Linked DNA regions of Saccharomyces cerevisiae S288C. The gene in region 1 interacts genetically with each later gene. Each region holds a gene or a part of one and is shown in the gene's direction. Other genes may lie near its edges. The genes, in order: PET122, JID1, TUS1 and RGT1.

The links.
Region 2: mutations in PET122 (region 1) and JID1 together harm fitness more than expected from each alone (negative genetic interaction), as found in Saccharomyces cerevisiae (2 studies listed by BioGRID).
Region 3: mutations in PET122 (region 1) and TUS1 are lethal when combined (synthetic lethality), as found in Saccharomyces cerevisiae (2 studies listed by BioGRID, with this or other methods).
Region 4: mutations in PET122 (region 1) and RGT1 together harm fitness more than expected from each alone (negative genetic interaction), as found in Saccharomyces cerevisiae (2 studies listed by BioGRID).

The regions. Positions count from the first base shown.
Region 1 is NC_001137.3:473,510-476,765, reverse strand, and holds PET122 (Pet122p), read left to right. Parts: upstream 1-1,960; coding exon 1,961-2,725; downstream 2,726-3,256. Other genes in the region: GTPase-activating protein BEM2, read left to right, coding at 1-421; membrane insertase OXA1, read right to left, coding at 538-1,746; YER152C (2-aminoadipate transaminase), read left to right, coding at 2,778-3,256. UniProt on the Saccharomyces cerevisiae protein: Required for expression of the mitochondrial gene for cytochrome c oxidase subunit 3 (COX3). PET122 seems to work by directly interacting with the small ribosomal subunit to promote translation initiation on the COX3 mRNA.
Region 2 is NC_001148.4:675,429-678,715, reverse strand, and holds JID1 (Jid1p), read left to right. Parts: upstream 1-1,833; coding exon 1,834-2,739; downstream 2,740-3,287. Other genes in the region: YPR063C (uncharacterized protein), read left to right, coding at 396-436, 523-904; FCY1 (cytosine deaminase), read right to left, coding at 1,075-1,551; chorismate mutase ARO7, read left to right, coding at 3,085-3,287. UniProt on the Saccharomyces cerevisiae protein: Probable chaperone.
Region 3 is NC_001144.5:980,871-987,350, forward strand, and holds TUS1 (Rho family guanine nucleotide exchange factor TUS1), read left to right. Parts: upstream 1-2,023; coding exon 2,024-5,947; downstream 5,948-6,480. Other genes in the region: TDA5 (Tda5p), read left to right, coding at 6,192-6,271, 6,343-6,480. UniProt on the Saccharomyces cerevisiae protein: Guanine nucleotide-exchange factor (GEF) for RHO1 that stimulates the exchange of RHO1 GDP-bound form into GTP-bound form. Required for signaling of cell wall defects to RHO1.
Region 4 is NC_001143.9:363,668-369,669, forward strand, and holds RGT1 (Rgt1p), read left to right. Parts: upstream 1-1,937; coding exon 1,938-5,450; downstream 5,451-6,002. Other genes in the region: PTM1 (Ptm1p), read left to right, coding at 1-526; AIM26 (Aim26p), read left to right, coding at 5,698-6,002. UniProt on the Saccharomyces cerevisiae protein: Glucose-responsive transcription factor that regulates expression of several glucose transporter (HXT) genes in response to glucose.

The DNA.
Region 1 (3,256 bases):
TACATTAGAGGACGATAGATGGTTTGAAGTGAATGCGATCGCAGGCTGTTTTAAGATGTATTTAAGAGAGTTACCAGATTCTTTATTTTCTCATGCTATGGTGAACGACTTTACCGATTTGGCGATTAAGTATAAAGCACATGCAATGGTAAATGAAGAATACAAGAGAATGATGAATGAGTTACTCCAAAAGTTACCTACATGCTATTACCAAACTTTGAAAAGAATTGTATTTCATTTGAATAAAGTACATCAGCATGTTGTAAATAATAAAATGGACGCATCAAACTTGGCTATTGTATTTTCCATGAGTTTTATAAACCAAGAAGACTTAGCCAACAGCATGGGGTCCAGATTAGGTGCAGTTCAGACAATCCTGCAAGATTTTATTAAGAATCCAAATGATTATTTCAAGCAATAAACAATTTTCGTGGTAAATGTATACAATCCACTGCTGAGAGAGAAAAAATTTGGTCCCGCCTATCGAGGGTTTGAGTTTTATATTTTTATATTTACAGAGAGATATAGAGCCTTTATTCATTTTTTGTTATTAATGAAGTTTGATTTGTGAACAATTTTGATTTTGGAATTCTGCCTCTTCTCCTTGAAGCTTTCTTGTAACTTCTTCTCATTATCTTGCATCAATTGCCTTCTTTCCGCCTGATCTCTTGCCTTTTGAATGTTATGTTTTAATGATTGGAAGATGCCCATGTTCTCTGTGGGGGAAGCGCCAGCGATAGGAGTCCTTGGTTTAGCTACTTCTGTTATCTTCAGTTTCGAACGAACCCATTTGTTTCTCAAAATCATTGTCTGTAGGACGGAGAAGGCACCATTAAAGGCAAAGTAGAGGACCACAGCGGACGATAAGTTCATTGTGGCCGGTATAGAAATGATCGGTAGAATAGTGAAAAGACGCTTCATGGGAGAACTGAATTGTTGAGCACCAGTCTCACCCCCCAGCCTTGTAAATGAGATGAACACAGCGGCAGTGATTACTTGCAAACCTAAGTAAGGGTCTGCTTGAGTCAAGTCTGTAAACCAAGCGACACCTTGATTAGCGAACCCATCTACTGGGTAGTTAGCCATGTGTCTCAATGCGTTGAAAAACCCAAGGGCGATTGGAATTTGTAGCATGGGTGCGGCCAGCCATCTGTTCTTAATGCCGTGCGAGGAGAGCAGTTTTTTCCTTTGCATGGCGACTAGCTGACCTTGTTGCAAATCTGTAGTGGACATTAGCTTATTATTCAAGGCGTCCAGCTCGGGCTTGATATGGGAATTTCTAGCAACAGTATCAGAGGACTTGACATAGAGGGGAAACATCAGGCATCGAATGAGGATGGTGGTGGCCGCGATAGTTCCCCACCAAGGCAACCCAGAGTAAACATGAACGGCCTCCAAGACGTGTTGGATAATGTCCGAGGGCCAGTACCAGGTTTGGGCCAGGCCAATGCTATTTAAGTACCCTATATGGGAGGACAACTCGCCCACTGTTTGGGTCGTGTTAGCGATAAGGTCCGAAGTAGAAGCGGAAAGAGAAGGAGCTGAAGAGGTTAATTCATCGATGGAAGGCAACTGGGTTTGGATTTCCGAGACATCGTTGGCATTTGGGCCCGTCGAATTAAATCTTTTGGCCTGAAAAGAGATCCATGACGGATGGGGCCGGGGCAATACTATGGTTCGAGCGGTGGCCAGTCTGGAAGAGGCAGCAAACCTTGACGTGACGAGTCGAGAGGTGAGTTTGAACATCGTCGGGGAGGTTATTCTGTGGCTCCGCTTGTACGTGAACAGATACGTATAGAGGGCGAGCCACTGGTTAAATTTTTCATGGCTCGGATTACTTCCGTACTGCTGGCTAAAATCGAAATCTCGGCCTGCTGAGAGTGTTTTGAGCAATCAAGGGAACATCTGAACGTGGAAGAGCAGACGAGGCATTAGCTCGAACATAAGAACGGAACACGTCATGTTGACTATCACGAAAAGACTGGTGACCACCGATGTGCGGTCGCGAATACTGTTAAGCAGTTTAAACGGGAAAATGTCCGATGCACTGGCGCTGCTGCGTCAGCAGCAGCAGACCAGCGTGGATGTGGAGCTGCTGCACACGATGCTAGCGCGAGCCGCTGCGCTTGCCCATGCCGACACTATAGCATACATGTGGTATCAGCATGTGATGCCACGCCGGTTGCCAGTAGAGGGCCGCCTGCTATGTGAAATGGCTGGCGTAGCATTGTACCAGGACAGGCTCTTCTTACCCGCGCAGTTCCTCCAGCACTACCAGGCGATGAATCGCGATCGTCGCACCAGCCCAGAAGATGAACTGATTGAGTATGAGCTTAGACGGATTAAAGTCGAAGCGTTTGCGCGTGGCACAATGCACTCCACGGCGCTCAGGGAAAAGTGGAAGGTATTCTTGCAGGAGATGGATACGCTACCAGGGCAGCCGCCATTAAGGCTGCGCGACTTCCCGCAAATGACCAAGGCTATGGGCATAGCATTGATGCAGCAAGATGAGCAAGCAGCTGCCCTGGCGTTGTTTGGACGACAGCCCCTAGTGATAAAGAACGAATGGTCACTACCGCTACTACTGGCTGGTGTCCTTTGGCATGTTCCCGGCCCAGCGCAGGCGCGACGTGTGCTGGCGGAGTTCCGTCAAAGTTATCGCGGGCTGCCGCTGCTGGATGCCGAACTAGTGATAAAGAGAAGAGGATTTGAAATCAACACATAAATCTGGGTGGAGCATCGCTGTAACAAGGAACAACGCGTGCTAGCAAGCGGTAATGAAATACAAGGAAATCAATTTCTTCAAGGGCCATCCGAGCTCGAGGTTGCTGCCTCGAGAAGCAGTAATTCAAGCGACTGCGGCTATATTGGGGCCCGAGACCAGGGAGTACGATAACGACCCCTATAACAGGCATCCGCTGACGTACGGTTCGGACGAAGGTGCCCTGTGGGTGCGAGAGCAGATTTGTACGTTTCTGAATGATCAGCTGTTTAAGTTCGAAAATGGGGCTCGGAGCAGGACACGGGCAGACTATTTGAATCTGAATAGCGGCGCTTCGTATGGCATGCTGAACATCCTTCTGCAAACAACCTTGCCACATAACGGGTATACCAGGCAGGCGTTCATCATCACGCCAACATATTTCTTGATCAACAATTGCTTCACAGATGCGGGATTCAAGGGGAAAATGACCGCCATCAACGAGCAGGGCCACGACTCGATTGATTTCGAGTCGTTGATTTCTGCCCTTGAGCA
Region 2 (3,287 bases), on another chromosome or scaffold:
TGCAGGTTGAATGTAGGTCAACTGCATACTGGGAAGCGTTTTCTGACCGCTTCGGAAGCGTGAGCGGTCCGTCTCTTACAACTCGTTTGGAGCTACATGGTGAGACAACATTGGCGCGCACGCCAATGTTGTCCTTCTCAATGGCCATGCAAACACTGCTATTTTATCGATAACTGTTGTGATCTTGGCTTAGTTCTTGTGCTTTTTACACCCCGCAGTAGCGCTAGTTGTATGATTGCGGTTATCTGTCGCTTCTGTTCTCGTAACGCGCAACATGGAAGAAAAAATACTGAAAAATAATTTTAACAAAAGCTTGAGCAGAATGGGCATGGTACAACATCCATAGGCAAAAAAAAGGAATACATATACTCCGCTGCTACCTCCTCAACTAAACAATGACTTTGAATAACGTTGCAAGGCCCGACCTTTGTGTTTCGTATGTTTTTCACCGACAATTTTCTTTCAAATTTGCTGATATTGCCAATATATACTAACAGTTCAACCGCTCCCTTTCTACCACAGGTACAAGAAAATTGCGCCACCAAAAGGACTATATTCTGCCACACCAAGCATATCTGGTGTGGTTAACCAATCCATGCCTATGGCCGCTATTTTCTTGAGGAACAAGTTCATTGCCTGGTTCTCCCTGATTCAGAGTGTACACTACTACCTGAACACCGACGAAGACATCATCGTTGCCTATAAGGAAAATAAGGCACCATCTCCAATGGACCAGCCTCCTGCAATCAAGCTATTCATGAGTTTAATCGGGTTATGCGTGTGTTACATGAACTTAGTTTTCCCTCAACAAATAGCTCAACCATCGTCTAGCGGCTCTAAAGGTAATACTGAAACGACAATTGAGACAACTACCGAAGTAGAGACGGAAACAGCTAAGCAGTAGGCTTATCCTATCCTCTATTTCCGCCCTGCCCCATCAAAAGGAAGGAAAAAATAGTAAATACGGGACTTCCTGTGTCGTTTTTTCATTTCCTAGGTTTTTTTCAAGTCTTCCCTAGTAGTGTATGCACAAATATATAAAATTAAATACGTAAATACAGCGTGCTGCGTGCTCTACTCACCAATATCTTCAAACCAATCCTGAGGTCTTTCATCGATAAATTGTTTCATGATCTTTTTACACCTCTCATCGTCAACAACAACAACCTCGTGACCTCTAGTTTGTAAATATTTCTCGCCCTTACTTTTGAAATTAACGTTCTCACCGACAACACAGCGTGGAATACCATACATGATGATGGCACCTGTACACATGTCGCATGGAGACAGCGTCGTATACAAAGTGGTATCTTTGTACACTTTGCCCTCTAATCTCCCACAGTTTTCCAAAGTGGAGATCTCACCATGTAGTGTGGCGGATCCCTTTTGAAATCTCATGTTGTGACCACGACCGAGAACACTTCCGTCTTTGTTATTGATAAGACATCCGCCAATAGGAACACCACCCTCTTTGTAACCTAAGGCCGCCTCCTCATAGGCAATGTCCATACCCTTCTGATCCCACTTGCTTGCCATTCCCCCTGTCACCATTAGCTATGAAATTTTTAACTCTTTAAGCTGGCTCTCATCAACATAAAACAATGGCTTGTAGATCTCATTGTCGAATTGAAAATGAACTTTTTAATTTCGCAAAAAAAAAAAGAAAAGTTCAGGGTCTCCGGGTACTACCGCCCCTGCAAGGAATGACCGGTGATAATGGAAGAGAAGATATTACAGCGACAGTATAATTAACAAACACGTTGTGTCTTTAGGCTCGTAACTAACTGTACGTATATCTACACACCATAGGTCACTACTTGCAATATATTTGTTATGCTACACCATAAGTTCGTATACCCATTTTTATTCAAGTGGCACTTATCATGTGTAGAAAAGTGTCCCCCACAAATCACTTTTATAGCTAAGTATGCTACAGCGAACGATAAAAATGGCAATAGAAAACTTACGATAAGGGATGAACAATGGCCTGAGTTGGCAGATCCAACTCCCTATGATATTTTTGGCATTCCAAAGGCCGGATCTGGAAATCCTAAACTGGACAAGAAGTCGTTAAAAAAAAAATATCATCGTTATGTAAAATTGTACCACCCTGACCATTCCGATAACATTCAAATATTTAGCTCAGAAAAGGTTACCAACAGTGATAGTAAATCACCGCTGCTGCTAACATCAAGCGAAAAACTACATAGATTTAAAGTCATCTCTCAAGCATATGATATTCTTTGTGACCCAAAGAAAAAGATCGTATATGACACAACGAGGCAAGGCTGGACCACATCGTATTCACCACGTTCTAACGTTAATACTGAAAATTACCAATATGCCGGCTCTTATGGCTACCACTCTAACGCGCAGTATGAATACTGGAACGCTGGGACTTGGGAAGACGCAAATAGCATGAAAAACGAAAGAATTCAAGAAAACATCAACCCATGGACCGTTATTGGCATAATTTGTGGCCTAGCTATATGCATCGAAGGGACTGCGTTGTTAGCCAAAATCCAGGAGTCTCTGAGCAAGGCCGAATTTACTCATGACGAAAGTGGATTACATTTGATTCAGTCATACACGAATTATGGTCTTGATACTGACAAATTTTCCAGATTGAGGCGGTTCTTATGGTTTAGAACTTGGGGACTTTACAAGTCGAAAGAGGATTTAGATAGAGAAGCCAAGATCAATGAAGAAATGATACGCAAACTGAAAGCAGCTAAATGAAATCACCTATTGCGCCGCTCGCGGAATACAATTACTAAATTTTATATATATTCTTTAAAAATGCATCTATACATTCGTTTTTCCACGTATACCAAATTCGAAAAAAGTTGTTAAACCATCGTTTTCACGTTTTTTAATTTTTTTTTGGTTCTCTTTTTTTTTTTTTTTCAATATCAACTTTTTTTCAAACTTCGTGTTGCATTTCCTTTATCGTAAATTTTCAATGGATCTCTATAATCTTCGAAGTTCGAAGAAAAGAAGAAAAAAAGTATTGAAAAGTTGAAACATCGATTCCGTTTTGCTAACAAATAGCACTCAGCATCCTGCATAAAATTGGTATAAGATATGGATTTCACAAAACCAGAAACTGTTTTAAATCTACAAAATATTAGAGATGAATTAGTTAGAATGGAGGATTCGATCATCTTCAAATTTATTGAGAGGTCGCATTTCGCCACATGTCCTTCAGTTTATGAGGCAAACCATCCAGGTTTAGAAATTCCGAATTTTAAAGGATCTTTCTTGGATTGGGCTCTTTCAAATCTTGA
Region 3 (6,480 bases), on another chromosome or scaffold:
CATGTAGAAAAGTTTTCTTCTGATGTTAAAGTGTGTGGTGGTAAGACATTATTTCTCACCTTTGTCTTAGCTTGAGGTACTTCAGAGTGTTGATCCTGTGAATCGATTGGATCAGGTGAGGAAGTACTCAGCGGTGGGATATACTGTGGCAGCGGATAGTGTGGGTCCGGTTGATAATACGCAGGTGACGTTTGATAATGTGAACACGTCATCATAGATGGTTGTTGGTAATGTGCCCAGTTAGAAGCCATAGCTTTGTTTGGGGTCATCATGCCGTGCTGTTGGTACTGTCCATTCTGTGGAGGTGGTACTGAAGCAGGTTGAGGAGAGACATGATGATGGTTCTCTGGAACAGCTGATGTCCCAGGTGTTGTCTCTTCTTGAGAATTAACCTTAGTGGAATCTCTATCAAATTCCGGTAAATTGGAAGCTGAAACGGCTAACGGATCTTGATTTGATGGGACTTCCTTAGAAGTAACCGAAGCATAGGCGCTACCATGTAGAGAATGTGGATTTTGATGTAATTGTTGGGATTCCATTGTGATTAAGGCTATAATATTAGGTATGTAGATATACTAGAAGTTCTCCTCAAGGATTTAGGAATCCATAAAAGGGAATCTGCAATTCTACACAATTCTATAAATATTATTATCATCGTTTTATATGTTAATATTCATTGATCCTATTACATTATCAATCCTTGCGTTTCAGCTTCCACTAATTTAGATGACTATTTCTCATCATTTGCGTCATCTTCTAACACCGTATATGATAATATACTAGTAACGTAAATACTAGTTAGTAGATGATAGTTGATTTTTATTCCAACAGGTTCACACGAAGATTGAAAGTGTGGCCACGCTAATTTAGTTTATTAGGGAAATGCTCCTGGTCAGTTCTAATTCACCCAACGTAGCGCGGAATATTTTAAAGTTAATATAGTATTTCGATATGACAAGCACCTCTAAACAAAAGGTTATTTTCGCTTTTGTTCATTGAGCGTGTACTTCAAGCCTGATCCTGCTTTTTCTTCTGATTTGATCTGATTCGATTAAGCAAGCGGTACTACCCTAAAACCGCCATCTGTTGTAATATAGTAACGTCGCAATAAACCTGTCATATAATTAGCAGCTAATCCTTATATTCCATCTCCTCAATTTGTGATATTTATCGTATATAATTCCCATTTCAGACCGTCATTTAGTAGTAGGCATCTAACTATGGAACGGCTTTACCCGATCTTGGTATGTATGCCATAATGTACTACCGCTATCGATTTACCTTAACCCTAACGAGTGTCTCTAGCCAGTATTTTAAACTTCCATATCACAACTAATGTTGAAGATTGTATAATAAAAACATCAAGCTATTTAATAGATGCGATTAATCTCCTAATCGAAAACAGTTTGTTCGGTGTCCAAATACTGTTTTAGTGGACTATGATAAACGTTATAACAGCTATTTTGACTAAAACAACCGTAAATTTACACAGATAGGTGTTCACAGTAATTTTTTGGGGAGTTAGGTCGAAATCTTTTCCAAAACCAGTCATGCAAAGGAAATGCGTCAACTTTTGGGGACTTTTCCCCTACTCAAACACAGTTAGTCAACATTTAAAGGTTGTGTCTTTACTTAAGAGAAAATTAACTGAGCTTCGGTCATACATACGTAATTTCGCTGCTTCCAGTCGAGCAGTTGGTGCGCTATAATCATTTGATGTTTTTAGCTTACGGCTTCTTAAGATTTTCTATTGTTCATACTGACTCGTCGCATAGGCCGCAATATAAATCATTTAGAGAAAACGTTAACACATCGTTTAGGTAAACAACCCCTAGAGAGGATGATCAGTACGCAATATAACTGTTCAAAATCCATTTCTTGCATCAATATTTTATTCAACTATTATTTCTGGAGGTTTTAGTGGTTCTGTATACCCCCTCCAGCCACTGTTATGAACAATTAATTGATACTACTTCGAATATAAACATTAAAACAAAAAACTTATTGAGTGCAGCAAGTTAACATGTATCGATATAATAGAAGTTCCCCTTTTGAACGAACACCAGAAAAACGAGTAAGCCGTCAAGAAAGCCAACGAAAGAGCATCGAATTGCCCAAACTGCCACCATTGAATACGAGGAACTCCTTTTTGGATGATTCTGATAACGGAACAGATAATATCTCAATTGGCTGGACACCAATCAGTGACACCCAGCAATTCCAAAGCCCGGTCCCTCAGGCTTTTACCTTTACATCAAAACATAGTGCAAGGGGAAACGGTACTAGCTCTTCAGAATCCACACCCAAATCGACAAAGTACGTCAAAGAAAGACGACCACCACCACCGCCACCCCTTTTGTATTCCACTGAATCAATACGGATAGACTCACCCATGGTATCTCCCAGTTCTCAGTCCCGGGAAAGATCACCTAATAAACTATCCTTTATAGGAAACTCAGAGGAACGACATCACATGGAATACATATCTAACCATTCCAGGATCTTAAAATCACCATTTGCGAACGGATTTAGTCCAAATTCCCCTAAATCTCCAAGAGATAGTAGCAAACAGCAGGCTCACTTCTCTGATGAATCAGATCTACGGTGTCATGAAAGAGAAAAAGCTTTACCCCCAATTCCTTTCACTACTACTCTTCTGCTATCTCCTTTTGATGATGAAGACTCAGAATTTTTTACGAAACCACCACCGCCTCTATCAACATCTAGAAACGTAAGTGGGAATAGCCGAGTATCAGAAGCCCTAGAAAGTGTTTATTCTGACTCAGATTATACTTTTAATAACTCAAATGCCAGGCAAAGTAGTTTTAACTCTTTACTAGGAGCCAAGCCATTAGAATTAGCACCAAGCATTACTGCACCGACACAACCATTTTCAATTCAATCTATCGATGAGCACAAGCTTTATCAATGTGATAATGTTTACAAACTTTCTGCTATTTATGAGTGGATTTTGAAAGTTTATTTTGAATGGTTTAATGAATGTGTCTTCACGAAAATCGATCTTTTCCAAATTGTTCAATTACTTTTAGAGTTTCAAATGCCTACAAATTTCGATCAAGATACGATAGACTCAAATGTGGATAATATTATGGCTTCGTTTATTTCCCAGAAAGCAGTAAGATTCGATATCATTAACGATGAAGAGGTAGCCGTAGTTGTGGGAGGGCTGGATATTACTGGTGTTTTCACCGAACTACTACCGTGCTATTCATTCATCGATAATACTTATGGATCTACAAACTCCCTGATTTGTTATTCCAACGTTTGCACACATGGCCAAAGCTCTGGCTTCAGAAAAGAAATAAAACTTTCCGAAATCATAAATAAATCAGTTGGACTTTGGACAGAATACTGGCACTTGACTCCAGATGATTTAGCAGAAATTAATCCCCGTGAAGTACAAAGACAAAGCTTTATATTTGACTTAATTATTTTAGAAGAAAGATCCTTAAACATGGCTACTGCCGCGGTAGAAATCTATGGGAAACGGTTTGACAAATCCCTACTTCCAGATGAGCCTGAGTTCAAGGCATTGGCATTTGATATCTTCGAACCTCTAATACAATTACATACCGAATTTCTTTTGACGCCAATATTTTGGAAATTAAAAACGAGAGGTAAGTTTATTGATGGCGTTGGAAAAATCTATTCAAAATGGTGTGGTGAAGCCAAGAATATATATTTGAATTACGCGAAAGCTATGGCAACGGTACACGAAATCATAATGTGGGAGAAGAAAAACAAGACGAAATTTGTAACATGGCTTAAGGAGATTGATAACTCGGTTGAAATTACAAGATCGAAGATGTATCATGATGTTATATTCTTTGGGGGGTTTTTCAAATCTTTACAAAACATGCCCGTAACTCTGCGCTCAATTTTGAAGAACACGGATCCTTCCATGGAGGATTATGAATACCTGAAAATAGTAATTAAGGAAGTAGAAAAGTTGAACTTTGAAGTTAATCAGGTACATGGATTAGCAATTGACCATAGGAAACTAGTAAGGTTTTCGAAACAATTAGTATTAAGTACTAATAGTAGTAATGCAACAAGCTATGTGAACGTCGGTGGTAGTACTAACGCAAATGACGATGATGCAATTCAGGATAAACTAGCTCTTGGTTTAACTTATCCGGAAAGGAAGTTAGTACTATCTGGCACTGTTTATAAAAAGAGGGATTTATGGCTGGACCCAACCCCAGTGTATATCGCATTATTGGACAATTGCTTACTGATTACAGAGGAAATAAGTAAAGGAGAAACTCAAAAATATAAGCTTATTGAAAGACCTATCCCAATAGATTATTTAAGTCTCGAGAAAAGGAAAATTCCAGGAACAAGTAAACAGCCTCTGAGAAACTACTCTCAGAAAGAACATAAATCCCCAATGCATAATTTTTCGACACCGATTAACTCCATGAGACCTCTGCTTAAAAGTTCTGGAAATCACATGTCAACAGCGTATGGAGATAGAAAGACTAGTAATACTGAAATTTCTAACGCGAATCCAAACACAGACGAGTTCTCATTTAAGATCAGAAATACAGCCACAGGTGAATCGTTCAAATTTTTTACAGAAAGTGCAGAAGTACTCAACCAATGGATTGATGCTATCATGGAATCTTTTAAAAGAAATGCAGAAAATCATGATTTAAATGCCTTTGAATTTACAGTGTTGAGCTCTGAGTTCGCATACTTCGACAAGGATGCACCGGTGAATCTACCTGTAGCTCCGGAAGGATCAGAAATTGATGTAGCACTCAAAGCTTACGCTCAAAAAGCAAACAAAGATTCATGTTCATGGAGTAAGACAACACGGATTCTTTGTTGTGAAGATGTTAAATTCGAGGGCAGAATTTACCTATTTGTGGCTACAACAGACGGTATCTATGTGAAATATAGAGACGATTATGGTAGTGGTTTCGTTAAAATATTAGAATTAAACGACGTCAAAAGAATGGAAGCCAATGTTAAGTTGGGGCTCTTGTTTGTATTGGATAACAGAAAGTTGTGCTATTTTAATATCTCAACGGTAGTGAGCCGTTACCTAGCGCAAGGAAACACTCTAGATGAAAACTGCATTGTGGGAACAGTAATCAGAGATAAGGTGAGATTCTTCAAAATTGCTGATGATTTTGGTAACTCAAAACATTTATTTTTTGAAAGAAAGGGGAAGATAGTTATATTAACACCAGAATTTGATCAATTGACAAACCAAGTAAAATATTTCAAATTTTACAAAGAGTATAAGCTCCCAAGTTCAAGTAATAACATTCTGAATAACGAAATTGAGGATATTGCCATATTCAGGAAAAGTTTTGCTGTGTGTACAAAGAAAACAGTCATACTTTATCAAGATTCATTCGAGGATAACGGAATAGTCTTACCATCTTTTTTGAATGATAAAGATATGATGGCACACTTGAGGCATCCACATTTGAATAGCTTACCGTTCAAAAGTGCTACAGACTCCAAGAAACGCCCCTCCATAGAATCTCTCACTGAAGAAGCAAAAAAGGATATCGCCACTTGCAAAGCTATACCGGTCAATTTTTTTCAAATATCACAATCTAGTTTTTTTGCCTTGGTTTATGATGAAGCCGTAGTGAAAATAAACTGCTACGGTGAGATGTCTGATTGGAGAAAGGATATTCTCTTACTTGATTTTTGTTGTACCGGCGCGAGCTTCCATGGTAATCATTTGATTCTCGTTGGCGACAATTTGATACAGATTTACGACTTAAAAAATGTTGAGCAGAACCTAGGCGAATTGGTTCCCGTCCAGATCATAAAAGGAAAGAAGATAAAGCTGGCTAGTTCAGAAAGGAGAGAGAAAACAATTCTTGTGTTAAGTCATCCAAATATACTTAATAGACAATTATTAGTCGCGTGCAATCCTGTAGCAATGGCAGATCATCAATAATATAAGATATAGACACTTTTAATGGTAAATATCGTTGTAATAATATAAGCCAACAAGAATATAGTCCAGTAATTATGCTATTTGCAGTAACTCACATCATTATTCTCTCTGTTCATATAATCCTGAATAACAGGTTACCCTCGGAAGTGCATTTAGCCGTATAACAAGTAGCTCTTTAAAATCAGTAGAACAGATACATTAATATGTGATAATACGGCTGTGAGGAAAAGGTGAAGTTCTGGTGATGAATATAGACTGTTTGTGTCGTTGGGTAGTTCTGCCACTGCTGCGCTATCCACTTCTGGTAGCTCTTGTATTGAGATGGTATGTAAAGTAGAAAATAGGCATGAGGTTAGAAACAGCGTTTTTTATACTAACATGACGAACTAACCTAGGTCTCTAAGCGACTCGATAAGCATTTGTCTAACAATCTATACACTACTGATAAATGCATTCCTCATTGCTAATTCCTATATAAAGCGGTCGGGACAGGTCGCCTGGAAGAGCCTTCGTGAATTTAAGAATGGCATAGT
Region 4 (6,002 bases), on another chromosome or scaffold:
TTACTACATGATTATTAGATCCATGACAAAAACAGTTATCTATTTGAAAGAGCAAAGGCAGATCGTAAAATTGAACATGTACAAGAAGCTACTATACATCATTTATGCGTCCTTTTTGAGTGTACTAGCTGGTAGTATAGTTTCGTCATTTATTTACGTTGGCATGAACACTATTGATATGATTGAGAAGAACTGGAGGTCAAGGTTCTTCGTTACTGATTTCTGGCCTACGTTAGTGTATTTCATTGTTTTCGTTACCATCGCGTTCTTATGGAGACCAACAGATACTTCATACATGCTAGCCGCATCCCAACAACTACCCACAGACCCAGAAAATGTCGCGGACTTTGACTTGGGCGATTTGCAATCGTTTGACGATCAAGATGACGCAAGTATCATCACTGGTGAGCGTGGCATAGACGAGGATGACCTCAATTTGAATTTTACTGATGATGAAGAAGGACACGATAATGTAAATAACCATAGCCAAGGCCACGGGCCAGTGTCTCCCTCTCCAACAAAATAACGCTACCTCCAGCAGATTTGATTAGGTGATGAGACAAATAGTTTCTTCGAGGGCAGTCACGAAATGTTTACAAGCGAAAAGAAAGAAATTATGAACCATATGCACTTCTGTTCAATGCGATGTGAATATGAATATGAATATAAATATGAATATAAATAAATAAATAAATAAATGCGTTGCACGTTTCTTTTCATTTATTTGTGCGTGCTTTTACCTGTTTATAACTGTAGTCACCAAAGCTATGCTATACTCTAGACCTAACTTTTTCGTTTTGTATTTATTTAGCCGCTCGCTGGAGTTTTTTTTTTTTCGGTGATAAGATGATTTATATCAAACCGAAACAAGCGAAAAGTTTCTGTTCATCGACTATAAAATGGAAGAGAAAATTGGTCCATAGACTTTTCATGTGTACTTGTTTATGAGAAGAGACGCAGGAAGACCAGAAGTGAGGAATTCCCTTTGTTCAAGGATGAACAACGAAGCCAGATAACGTAAGGTTGCGCGCTGCATCAGTGCTAACCTTATTAGCTTTCTCTGGCTTTTTCGGTCTTTCCTATGTAACATAACATGTATATTCTATTTGTTTATGATGAGACCACGTCCTTAGTGACAATGCTATAAACCCAGCTCTTCGATTCGTTTTTAATGAAAGGGAGAAGATTTTTTTGTCAAACGCTCTGAGTAATAGAATATACATGCGACAACATTTGTAGTTACTTGTCTTACGCTTCCTAGGGAACGGATCATCCGAGTAGAATATCATTTTACGGGATCACTTTATTCGGTGTGATTGCTCGTTAAGCCGCACGACCATTTTATGGGCACGCTTCCGCAAGTTGGTTCTTTCATCAGAAGCTTTACCACGATTGGCAAGTCATGTAGCATGTGCGCTAACATCGTTTATCGTTTTCTGTGACGTGGCTTATGAGCACCAGAGACGAATAATCAACAGTACATCAAACAAAAGCTACGTCACCTCACCAATAATCCGAGCTTCTTGAAATGGCAGGTATTGGATTCATAAAATATGTCGCTGCTTTGTGCATTTTCCTTTAGTTTTTTCCTTTTTTTTCATGTAGCTAACTAAGCAAGACGATTATGGGAAGGGACCTTTTAAGGAAAAACAGGAAAAAAAAATAGTAGCAACTAGTAAAAATTCAAAAAATAAAAAAAGTCAAAATAAGAACACATCAGTTAGGAACCGTGCTTGGAGTTTTGAGACTGGAGTATTGTCCATCCAACATATTCTGCTCTTTCACCATAGACTTCGTTGGAAATCGCCTCTCCCTTGTACTATATTGTGCAGAACCGTTCCCGCAATTTTCATTGGTGCAATAATAACACGCTTCTTCGATTCTCACATTTGTCAAGAAGCTGTACTCTTCTCTCAAACTCCAATATATTTCAAATTATGAACGAGCTGAACACTGTTTCGACTAACTCCAGTGACTCCACCAAGAACGGTGGTACATCCAATAGTCCCGACGATATGGACTCCGCAGCAGCAGCAAGTCACGCAATAAAGAAAAGAACAAAGGCCTCCCGGGCCTGCGATCAGTGTCGTAAAAAGAAGATTAAATGTGACTACAAAGATGAAAAGGGGGTCTGCTCAAACTGCCAAAGGAATGGAGACCGTTGTAGTTTTGATAGGGTTCCTTTGAAAAGGGGACCCTCGAAAGGCTATACGAGGAGCACCAGCCATCCAAGGACTAACGAAATACAAGACCACAATAACTCAAGGTCGTATAATACGTTTGATAATAGTAACAATACCCTGAATAATAATACGGGCAATAGCGGCGACAACGGTATAAACAGTAACACAGTTCCAAGTACCCCTTCGAGATCTAATTCAGTTTTATTGCCCCCACTGACACAGTACATTCCCCAGGCTGGTGGCATTCCTCCTAGTTTCCAAAATCCAGCGATACAATCAACTATGCCCGCGGGTAATATTGGCCAACAGCAGTTTTGGAAAGTGCCCTACCATGAGTTTCAACACCAAAGAAAAGGATCTATCGATTCTTTGCAAAGTGATATATCGGTAAGAACATTAAATCCCAACGAGCAGTTGTCTTATAACACCGTTCAACAGTCTCCCATAACGAATAAACATACTAATGATTCTGGAAATGCAAACGGAAGTGTCACCGGCTCAGGCAGTGCCTCTGGTAGTGGTGGTTATTGGTCCTTTATAAGAACTTCTGGTTTACTAGCTCCTACTGATGATCATAATGGGGAACAGACAAGAAGATCAAGTTCCATACCTTCTTTGCTACGAAATACTTCAAATTCTCTTTTACTAGGTGGCCAGCCTCAGCTTCCCCCACCTCAGCAACAATCGCAGCCACAAGCACACCAACAAAAGTTGCAACAAGGACAGAACCTATACTCGTATTCTCAATTTTCCCAGCAGCAACCGTACAACCCATCGATATCATCTTTTGGCCAGTTCGCTGCTAATGGTTTTCATTCTAGACAAGGATCAGTCGCCAGCGAGGCTATGTCTCCCAGTGCACCTGCCATGTTTACTAGCACATCTACAAACCCCGTAAATGTTGCACAGCAAACACAAAGACCTCAAGGACAGCAGGTACCGCAATTTTCATCTGAGTTGGATGGAAATAAAAGGCGACAATCAGCCCCCGTATCAGTAACATTATCCACGGACAGGCTGAATGGTAATGAGAATAATAATGGTGAAATTAACAACAATAATGGCAGCAATAATAGCGGTTCTTCTAAGGATACATCTCAACATTCCCAAGAATCTGTAACTACACCAGCGGCTTTGGAAGCATCCAGCCCTGGATCAACGCCACAGAGAAGTACAAAAAAACGCAGAAAAAGTTACGTATCTAAGAAGACAAAACCAAAGAGAGATTCATCTATATCTATAACATCGAAAGATTCTGCTCACCCAATGACCACTTCATCAACTATCGCGTATGGACAGATATCCGATGTAGATCTAATAGACACCTACTATGAGTTCATACATGTAGGATTTCCGATCATACCTTTAAACAAAACGACCTTGACCAGTGACTTATTGTTAGTTAACACACAGCCAATTTCCAATATACACGAAGTCAATTCATATGTTATTTTGTGGTTTAGAAATTCATTGGAATTGTTAGTTCGTGTTGCTCTGAAACAAAAGCCAGGTGGCAAGTTTTTCGATAATATTGTTGGCGTGGCTTTGTCGCCAAGTAATGACAACAACAAAGCTGGGTTCACTACAGCCACGGCAAGGGATGATGCTGAAAAAACAAGACGTGATTCACATAATGAAGTACAGGATACTTTGGAAGTGCAAAGCGTTTTTATTGCCGCCCTCAATGAATGTTTCCAAAAAATCGTGGATATTCATCCCAAATTCAGAGAAAACAACGACCAAATTTCGCCGAAGATCAAAGTCATTTATTTATCTACTTTTATTCTTTTAAATTACATTTTGGCATTTGTTGGATACGATAACTCATTTGTACTTGGAATGTCGGTGACAATTTTTAACGAATTTAAATTATACAAACTTCTATTATTTCCGGAGCCGGATATAAATGATGTGAAGCCTCCAGTTGATGAAGAGGTCAGCACTGGTAATGGGAATACAAAAACGTCCGAATTTGAAATTGGATCTGAAAGTGCTGGGCATATGAATCCATCCAATTCACCAAATTCCATGGACGAAAACATTAGTCACTATTCAGTGTTGTTTAAAAGATTATACGTTTTGCTTTCAGTGTTTGATTCTTTACAAAGCTGTGCATTCGGTGGTCCCAAGCTATTAAACATTTCCATCCAAGGTTCTACAGAAAGATTTTTTTCTAATGATTTGGGCTCAAAATGGTGCCTGGAACAAAGCCAATTGAGACTGAAAAGCGTCTTGCAAAGCTTGAAATTGGGTGAATTGATGAGTGAGCTTACCAGGAATAGAATATCAATGAACGGCAATAGGAAGCCTGGGTTCGATATTACGAACTCGTCTTCACTCTTATCGGAATATGTGGAAACTCAACCTCTATCCGTAGCACAGTTATTTTGCAAGCTATTAATTGGCAAACACAATTTCATCAATTGCTTATTATCATTATACGATTCAGAAGCAGGAGTCTATTCAGATTTGACATTGGATTTGAGTTCGAAAATAGCAGACTCTCTGTGCTCATTGATATCAATAATTTTGCAAGTATTGACGTTGATATTAAGACTGAATCCTACGAACAGTATTGATTTTAATTATAGACCACCGAACCCACCCGCTAATAATCCGACAGTGCAAGAGGGCCCATCTGCTATGGGCTCGTCTCCAGTCGCTGGGAACCTTAGCGCTGCACCTCCATCGGAGGGGAATCCAGATTTTTACAAGAAATTACTAGGCCTGAAACAAGACACTGGCACTATCCTTTCAGACCTTTGCCGGGGGATAATTTCCCCCTTTGCTATTGCTATCCTGCACGAGGTCTACAACATCACTGAACTGGTCAAGCAGATGCCTACATCACTCATTAGCATTATGATGACGGCAACTACAACGCAGAATACTCAGGACACCAAGAAGTCGCAGGACCTGGTCATGAAGCTGTCAAACTCGATGAATGAAGTAGTTCAAATCACCAGCGTGCTGACAATGATCAAGCCATTCAAGATCTTCGAGCACGAGCTTAATAAGCCCATAATGTCCCTGACAGGAGGACTTTCGTCCACGACCAGAAACGACGTCATGTGGCCAAAGTCGGGCCAAGGCCTCCGCGAGTCATCAGTCATGAAGACATTGCTTGATGAACGCCGTACTTCTGGTACACAACCGACAACGGCGCCAGTAGCCGCAGAGGAACCCAGGCTTGAGAACGTTGCCCTGGAAAATTTCGTTAGTATCGGCTGGAAGCTGTTGGACGATTCCGAGTTAGGCTGGTATTGACAGGTAACTATGCTCCCTTCTCCTGTAGGTCAGGTTCTCCCTTCTCCTCAGGCAGAAATTCGCGTAAAGAACTACCATGCAATGAATGACCAATTTAAGTAAAACACATAAATAATACTTACTTACACATATACACACTAGCTGTTTTAACCTGTAACAATACTGCCTTGTCAGAGTGCGCACGGCCTTTTACTCTGGTGCTCCACCATCTTCCACGGTATTCGAGAGTCGCCAAGCTCAGGGGCGCATGCAGACAATGGGCGGGGAGCACCTTCTTCTTTCACAGCTAAAGGGGTCTTTCTTTCTCCTACTTTTGGCATACTTTTTCAGGGGCAGAAGTCCTTATTACGCACGTTGCTACCGCCGGCTTGCTGTTACACCTGGTGCCATCACTATTGCCATTGCCATTGCTACAGATTCAATTCCGGCGCTTGCAAAGTCCAAAGTTCTGGTGTCGGTTTGTTCTCACACAGATCCCTGTACAGCGTCTTGTAACCTGATCCCCTTCCCCCGCCCCTTCTCGAACAGCCTGACGCGCTTCCTCTTTTGTTT